Saccharomyces cerevisiae S288C: one gene and its partner. Each later gene encodes a partner of the first gene's protein in a complex. Each region holds a gene or a part of one and is shown on either strand. Other genes may lie near its edges. A codon is read from its position in the direction of its gene.

What was found. The genes of interacting proteins can lie anywhere in the genome.
Region 2: the proteins of GCD10 (region 1) and GCD14 are in contact, whole or in part, in a crystal structure (PDB 5ERG), measured with the Saccharomyces cerevisiae proteins. Residues at the interface, in NP_014337.3 of Saccharomyces cerevisiae: Met1 (codon at 2,156), Leu4 (codon at 2,165), Thr5 (codon at 2,168), Phe9 (codon at 2,180), Arg16 (codon at 2,201), Asn44 (codon at 2,285), Asp45 (codon at 2,288), Ile46 (codon at 2,291), Ile47 (codon at 2,294), Gly48 (codon at 2,297), Tyr49 (codon at 2,300), Pro50 (codon at 2,303), Phe51 (codon at 2,306), Gly52 (codon at 2,309), Leu53 (codon at 2,312), Leu85 (codon at 2,408), Glu194 (codon at 2,735), Tyr195 (codon at 2,738), Ser197 (codon at 2,744), Ser198 (codon at 2,747), Ser199 (codon at 2,750), Gln219 (codon at 2,810), Glu220 (codon at 2,813), Gly223 (codon at 2,822), Met224 (codon at 2,825), Leu226 (codon at 2,831), Asn227 (codon at 2,834), Leu228 (codon at 2,837), Asn230 (codon at 2,843), Ile231 (codon at 2,846); in NP_012410.1 of Saccharomyces cerevisiae: Phe6 (codon at 1,907), Ser7 (codon at 1,910), Gly8 (codon at 1,913), Tyr9 (codon at 1,916), Lys10 (codon at 1,919), Asp11 (codon at 1,922), Trp22 (codon at 1,955), Arg25 (codon at 1,964), Pro55 (codon at 2,054), Tyr56 (codon at 2,057), Gly57 (codon at 2,060), Ser58 (codon at 2,063), Gln59 (codon at 2,066), Ala61 (codon at 2,072), His74 (codon at 2,111), Leu76 (codon at 2,117), Gln77 (codon at 2,120), Thr79 (codon at 2,126), Pro80 (codon at 2,129), Glu81 (codon at 2,132), Leu82 (codon at 2,135), Leu85 (codon at 2,144), Thr96 (codon at 2,177), Pro97 (codon at 2,180), Ser100 (codon at 2,189), Tyr101 (codon at 2,192), Met103 (codon at 2,198), Gln104 (codon at 2,201), Arg105 (codon at 2,204), Asn107 (codon at 2,210).

What each region holds. Positions count from the first base shown.
Region 1 is NC_001146.8:508,613-512,367, reverse strand, and holds GCD10 (tRNA 1-methyladenosine methyltransferase subunit GCD10), read left to right. Parts: upstream 1-2,155; coding exon 2,156-3,592; downstream 3,593-3,755. Other genes in the region: rRNA (cytosine-C5-)-methyltransferase NOP2, read right to left, coding at 1-1,828; MTQ1 (S-adenosylmethionine-dependent methyltransferase), read right to left, coding at 3,666-3,755. UniProt on the Saccharomyces cerevisiae protein: Substrate-binding subunit of tRNA (adenine-N(1)-)-methyltransferase, which catalyzes the formation of N(1)-methyladenine at position 58 (m1A58) in initiator methionyl-tRNA.
Region 2 is NC_001142.9:185,016-188,570, reverse strand, and holds GCD14 (tRNA 1-methyladenosine methyltransferase subunit GCD14), read left to right. Parts: upstream 1-1,891; coding exon 1,892-3,043; downstream 3,044-3,555. Other genes in the region: DUF5427 domain-containing protein MTC1, read left to right, coding at 1-567; LSM1 (Lsm1p), read left to right, coding at 927-1,445; NIT2 (putative hydrolase), read right to left, coding at 3,147-3,555. UniProt on the Saccharomyces cerevisiae protein: Catalytic subunit of tRNA (adenine-N(1)-)-methyltransferase, which catalyzes the formation of N(1)-methyladenine at position 58 (m1A58) in initiator methionyl-tRNA.

The DNA of each region.
Region 1 (3,755 bases):
TTGGATTGACACCCTTTTTCAAAAGATTGTTTTTCACAGACTTTTCAATGTACTTATCGTCTTCTTCGTCCTCGAAGGTTGCGAAGTCAGAGTGAATGATACCTTCTTCCAAAGCTTCCTTTCTAGCAGCAGTTTCCTTTTCTTTTGCACTTGCTTGGTTATCATCAAACGAAGATGGACCGATCTTTTGGAATTTAGCGACAAAGAACCCATCGACGTTGTACGTATGTGGATAGTACCTCCTCGCTAATTTCACACTAGGATGAAACTTTTTGCCTCTGTAACTAGTAAACGCTTCTTTACCGATCGCTAAACCAGTATCGACTAACTTGACATTCGGTCTTTTTCTCAATGCATAGTCTATGACAGCTTCGTCCTCTTCCACTGCAACAGAACATGTCGAATATACTATTACACCACCATGTTTCGAGTTGCAATCAACAGAATCAATGGCGGATAGAAGCAATTGTTTTTGTAGATGTGGAATTTGAATGAAGTCCTTCTCGGTACGAGACACCTTGACAGATTGATCCTTACCGATAACACCAGTACCGGAACATGGGGCATCCAGTAAAATTCTGTCAAAACCTCCAATTACCTTAGGGAACTCACGGGCATCGTAATTGCATACAATAGTGTTGGTACAGCCTAGACGGTGGATATTAGCAATTAAAGATTTTGTTCTAGATTTATTGGCGTCGTTAGCGAAAACACAACCTGTGTTTTTCATCATAGCTGATATATAAGTGGTCTTACCACCTGGAGCAGCTGCCATATCCAAGATACGCTCATTTTCATGAGGATCTAGAGCAATAACTGGTAGAAAAGATGATGCCGCTTGTAAAATATAGTGACCTGCCAAATATTCTGGCGTAGCACCAATTGGGACTTGGGAATCGAATATTTGAAGACCAACTTTAGTCCAAGAACCAATAGGTTGTAGATTAACACCTCTATTCACAAGAGTTTGAGCTAAGTCTCTCCTTCTGGTCTTCAAGGTGTTGGTTCTGATGGTTATTGGTCTTGCAATTTCATTGGCTTCGAAAAACTCCATCGCCTCTGCTGGTGAGAATAGATTGAATAACTTTTCCGCCAAAAATGGTGTATAACCAAAGTACTCACAAATATCTTTCAAAAGTCTGTCAACGTATTCTCCTCTCGATCTGCCTTCTGCACCAAGAGTCTTAAAATTTTCCAAAACCTTTACAATTTCAATCATTCTTGTTCTTGTGGAAGTTAAATTAGGAGTTTCTTGTGCCATCATTTCTTCCTGCTCCTCAGTGGGCAATATGTCTGCTCTTGGTTGCATGTTCTCCGCTTCCACTAACTCCATTTCGGCTTCTTCAGCTTCTTCAGCTTCTTCTTCATCAAGTTTCTTAGAAAGAGCTTCCATGTTTTGTGCATTTAGTTCTTCAAGATCAGCCTCATCGTCGTCATCTGAAAAAATTGGGTGGGCGTCATTATCTTCATCTTCATCGTAATCATATTCTTGTTCCAAGTCAAATTCATCTTTTAGTTCTTCATCCACCAATCCTGCTTCATCGTCATCTTCTTCATCATCAAATAAAGATTTCCTGGCTTTTGATAATTCTTCAAGATCAACTTCTGGCAAATCCTTATCCTCTTCAACAACTTCTTCCTCCTCTTTTCTAGATTTCTTGAATGGCTTCGACTTCTTTTTCTTTCTATCAGAAACTTCATCCCCTTGCGTGGTAGAAGGTCTCTTTCCTTTTTCTAGCTTTCTATTAGCCTTCTTTTCCTTTCTTGCCTGAAACTCCTCCAGGGTTGGTGGGGCGGCTTGCTTGTTCTTATGACGTCTACTACCCATTTCCTATTATATGTATATGTAATTCTAATATTAGCCAACACAAGGGGAATTCCGCCAGAATTACAAATCTATATACCTTAGCGACAACTGTATTTGCAGCTCAGCTCATCTTAAACTTATTCTGCGATGAGATGAAAATTTTTTTCAGAAAACGTGAAACTGGGTAACGGTTTTGTAAAATCTGAAAAATTTCATCAAAAAAAAAAAAAAAGTCGATGAGGTGTATAATAACAATAATAATATTCAACTTTAAATTCTTTGGCACGTTGGATCCTACTCACATTGTTGCAAACGAATTGGACAAAAAAACTTTGAATTTAGTGCACAATGAATGCTTTGACAACCATAGATTTTAATCAGCACGTTATCGTCCGGCTGCCATCAAAAAATTACAAGATAGTGGAACTAAAGCCCAACACCTCTGTATCATTAGGAAAATTCGGTGCTTTCGAGGTTAATGACATAATTGGTTATCCTTTCGGGTTGACTTTCGAGATATATTATGATGGCGAAGAGGTTTCATCCGATGAAAATAGAGATTCGAAACCAAAGAACAAAATTCCCATCGGGAAAGTAAGGCTATTATCGCAGGAGATCAAAGATGTCAATAATGATAAAGACGATGGTCAAAGCGAGCCTCCTTTATCTATTAAGGAAAAATCTGTGTCTCTTGAATTGTCTAGCATTGACAGCAGTGCTACGAATCAGAATCTGGTTAACATGGGCAGCAAGGCCCAAGAGTTAACCGTTGAAGAAATTGAAAAAATGAAACAAGAATCTTTATCTAGTAAAGAAATAATCGACAAAATTATCAAATCTCACAAAAGTTTTCACAACAAGACCGTATATTCTCAAGAGAAATATGTGAATAGGAAGAAACAAAAATTCGCCAAGTACTTCACCGTTGAGTATTTAAGTAGCTCTAACCTTTTACAATTCTTAATCGACAAAGGCGATATCCAAAGGGTATTGGATATGTCTCAGGAATCGATGGGGATGCTGTTAAATCTTGCGAACATCCAATCAGAAGGCAACTATCTCTGTATGGATGAAACGGGTGGGTTATTGGTTTACTTTCTGTTGGAAAGAATGTTTGGCGGTGACAATGAAAGCAAATCCAAGGGCAAAGTCATAGTTATTCACGAAAATGAACATGCCAACTTGGATTTGCTGAAGTTTGCTAATTATTCTGAGAAATTTATTAAAGAGCATGTACACACCATTTCTCTATTAGATTTTTTTGAACCGCCTACACTACAAGAGATTCAGAGCAGATTTACACCATTACCTAAAGAAGAAGCCCGTGCATTAAAAGGTGGTAAGAAAAACTCGTACTACCGAAAACTCAGATGGTACAATACACAATGGCAAATTTTAGAACTAACAGGAGAATTCCTATATGACGGTCTTGTAATGGCTACTACACTACATTTACCAACACTAGTGCCAAAGTTGGCCGAAAAAATCCATGGTTCAAGGCCGATTGTATGCTATGGTCAATTCAAAGAAACTTTGTTGGAATTAGCTCATACTTTATATTCAGACCTCAGGTTTTTAGCACCATCAATTTTGGAAACTAGATGTAGGCCGTACCAAAGTATAAGGGGTAAGCTACACCCTCTGATGACCATGAAAGGTGGTGGTGGATATCTAATGTGGTGTCACAGAGTCATCCCTGCTCCTGAACCTGTATCGGAAAACGCGACTGCAGCTGACTCCAGTGAAAAGCTTGCTGAACATGGAGCTAAGAAACAAAAAATATAAATGTCCACAGAGTGTTCCGTTTGATAACTTCCAACAAAAAAACCTGAGAATATATATATTTACATTTATATACTTAGTTGCAATTAGCTTTGTGCCCACTGAGTGCGGTTGCTAAATGTCTTATAGTCCCAAAGGATGCAAAAATCTGGTGTAGTATTCGCCC
Region 2 (3,555 bases), on another chromosome or scaffold:
TTCGACGGCAAGGTAACAGACGGTGAGAAACTGGCATTTGCAAACCTGGAAAATGCAGTCAAACTCTTCAATACTGCACATGAGGAATACCAGAAACAACAGAAAGAGGCTGATGCCACTCCAGATGACGATAGGAGTTCTATTAGCAGTAACAGCAATAAAATCAGTGATTTATTCATATCCATCTTACCAATTGCCATTCCGCAAAAACAAAAAGATGCCGACGGTGACTTTCAAGTGACCGACTCCAATACGCCAGGCAATTTCAATTTCACCCTTGTATTGAAAGACATAACTAACGATATTACCACCATAACAAGATCACAAGGATTCCCTGTCAAATGGGTCAATTGGCTAGAAGGATCCGTGGAGAAAACAGGATCAACAGCAAGTGAGGAGAGGAATAAGTCATACGATCAAAAGAAACAAAAAGAAAGTGAAGACGAAGACGAAGACGATGAGATCATTGATCCTAGTGAATGGGTAAAGGAATGGATCGAAGATGGATTAAGCTTGTCATTTGGGGTCATGGCACAGAATTATGTCATTGACCGTATGGGTCTTTGATACACTTAATACATAACATTTATAGCGTAACGATGATGTATAAAGTTACAAGCGCAGAGGAGTGGGTTCAAATTCGGCCGACTTGTTACCCGCGTTCGTTGAATAATGGAAAATATGAAAAAAATAGAGGAAGTCGTGAATATACAACGGTGTTCAGCACCTGTATTTCAATCTAGGGGAAGCCTGTATGACCAAGGGCTGATTAAATATTAGTGAAGATACAAGTAACACAGTTTAGTTATATTTTCTTTTCCTTTTCAACAGGATTGCCAACGCTGCAGTAGAGTTATACCAACATTTGCTCCGCTTTCAAAACCTATAAAAGAAAGCAGCCCTCGAATCGAATTAATTCACCAAAAATGTCTGCAAATAGCAAGGACAGAAATCAGTCCAATCAGGATGCGAAGCGACAACAGCAGAATTTCCCAAAGAAGATTTCAGAAGGTGAGGCCGATTTATATCTCGACCAGTATAACTTCACTACCACCGCTGCTATTGTAAGCTCAGTAGACCGTAAAATCTTCGTTCTTTTGCGTGATGGAAGAATGCTATTCGGTGTACTAAGAACCTTTGACCAATATGCAAATTTGATACTTCAAGATTGCGTGGAGAGAATATATTTTAGCGAAGAAAACAAATACGCTGAAGAAGACCGCGGCATATTCATGATTCGTGGTGAAAATGTTGTCATGTTAGGCGAAGTAGACATCGATAAAGAAGATCAACCCCTTGAGGCCATGGAACGCATACCATTTAAGGAGGCTTGGCTGACCAAGCAAAAAAATGATGAGAAAAGGTTTAAAGAGGAAACCCACAAAGGTAAAAAAATGGCCCGCCATGGTATCGTTTACGATTTCCATAAATCTGACATGTACTAAGAAAGAAAAACACAATACTACCAACATATATCCTGGAGTAAACTCTCAAAAATTTCCACATTCAGTTTTACCTATCCGTACACTTAATCAACTGCCTTTGGAGATGGAACAATAAAAAAAATGCAAGAGAGGAGGCCGTATTTGTATATAAATTAATATATTTAAATGTAAAATATATACAGTACTTGAGTTTTTTTATGAAGTAACGTATTTGCGCAGCATTCTTTTTCCTCTTACACTTCGTTATAACATTAACACTCATGCTATTGATACTTTTTCTTTATTATTATCTATAAAATTTTTTCGCTTTTTGTTTATGCCATGCCGTTAGCAACGAATTTTTTTCCATGCTCATCACTTTTAAAACTGTTTAAAGTATATAGAAAATATATGTGAATAAGATCGGGGTGGGACTATCAGGTAGCTAAGATTACGCAGATTTAGAAATGTCAACAAATTGTTTTTCCGGTTACAAAGACCTCATCAAGGAAGGCGATTTAACTCTAATATGGGTTTCTAGAGATAACATCAAACCGGTAAGGATGCATTCCGAAGAGGTATTCAATACTCGTTATGGTTCATTTCCTCATAAGGATATCATAGGTAAACCTTATGGTTCTCAAATTGCTATAAGAACAAAGGGCTCAAATAAGTTTGCATTCGTCCATGTTCTGCAACCAACTCCTGAATTGTGGACTTTGTCGTTACCACACAGAACTCAAATTGTATATACGCCCGACTCTTCCTACATCATGCAAAGGTTGAATTGTAGCCCTCACAGCAGAGTGATCGAGGCAGGTACAGGCTCAGGATCATTTTCGCACGCTTTTGCAAGATCTGTAGGTCATCTTTTTAGTTTTGAATTTCATCACATAAGATACGAACAAGCATTAGAGGAATTCAAAGAGCATGGACTTATTGATGATAACGTTACGATTACACATCGGGATGTTTGCCAAGGTGGATTTCTTATAAAGAAGGGAGACACTACATCTTACGAATTTGGCAATAATGAAACCGCCGCTTCATTGAATGCAAATGTAGTGTTTTTAGATCTGCCGGCTCCCTGGGATGCTATACCTCATCTGGATTCTGTTATTTCCGTAGACGAAAAGGTCGGATTGTGTTGCTTCTCCCCATGCATTGAGCAAGTAGACAAAACATTGGATGTATTAGAGAAATATGGCTGGACGGATGTTGAAATGGTGGAAATTCAAGGTAGACAGTACGAAAGTCGAAGACAAATGGTCAGATCACTCAATGATGCCCTGGAAAGGTTGAGAGATATTAAGAGGCACAAACTCCAGGGTGTAGAAAGACGCAAGCGGATGTTTAACAATACAATAGATTCTAACGATGAAAAAGTTGGAAAAAGAAACGAGGATGGCGTACCATTAACAGAAAAGGCCAAATTTAATCCTTTTGGCAAAGGTTCTCGAATCAAGGAAGGTGATAGTAATTATAAATGGAAGGAGGTCACAAAGATGGAAGCTGAGATCAAATCCCATACCTCATATTTGACTTTTGCATTTAAAGTTGTGAATAGATCAAGAGATGATGAAAAAGTTAACGAAATTCTTCGATCCACGGAAAAATAATTAAATGATTAACTACTTATATACTTAAATTATATGTTTTTGAAATTTTTAATATGTAAAGCAAATCTGTACGAATAAAGGCTTTTTTCATATTTTATTTGCCTCAATGAAATAAATCGTCTCTTCTCTGGTTCCATAAGGGCATTTTGTTCCTTATTTCTTGCAAAAGCTCACGATCCAAATCAGCGAGAATTAGTTGTGGTCCAACAGTAGAGGGATCGGCATGCGCTATTATTTTACCCCAAGGATCAATGACCATTGAGTGTCCCCAAGATTCTCTCCTGGAGCTTTTTTCGAGAGCGCTCATATGTGATTGTTTCTCCCACTCTGGATCACTGAGATCGTGCATTCCAACCTGCCCTGGCATGAGCACATAGCATTGAGTGTCAACCGCTCTTGCTCTGCCTAGTAACTCCCAATGTGCTTCCCCTGTTTTAATAGTGAACGCACTGGGAAAACATAAGATTTCAGCCCCCATTGATCGTAATTTCAAAGAAAATTCGGGAAAGCGA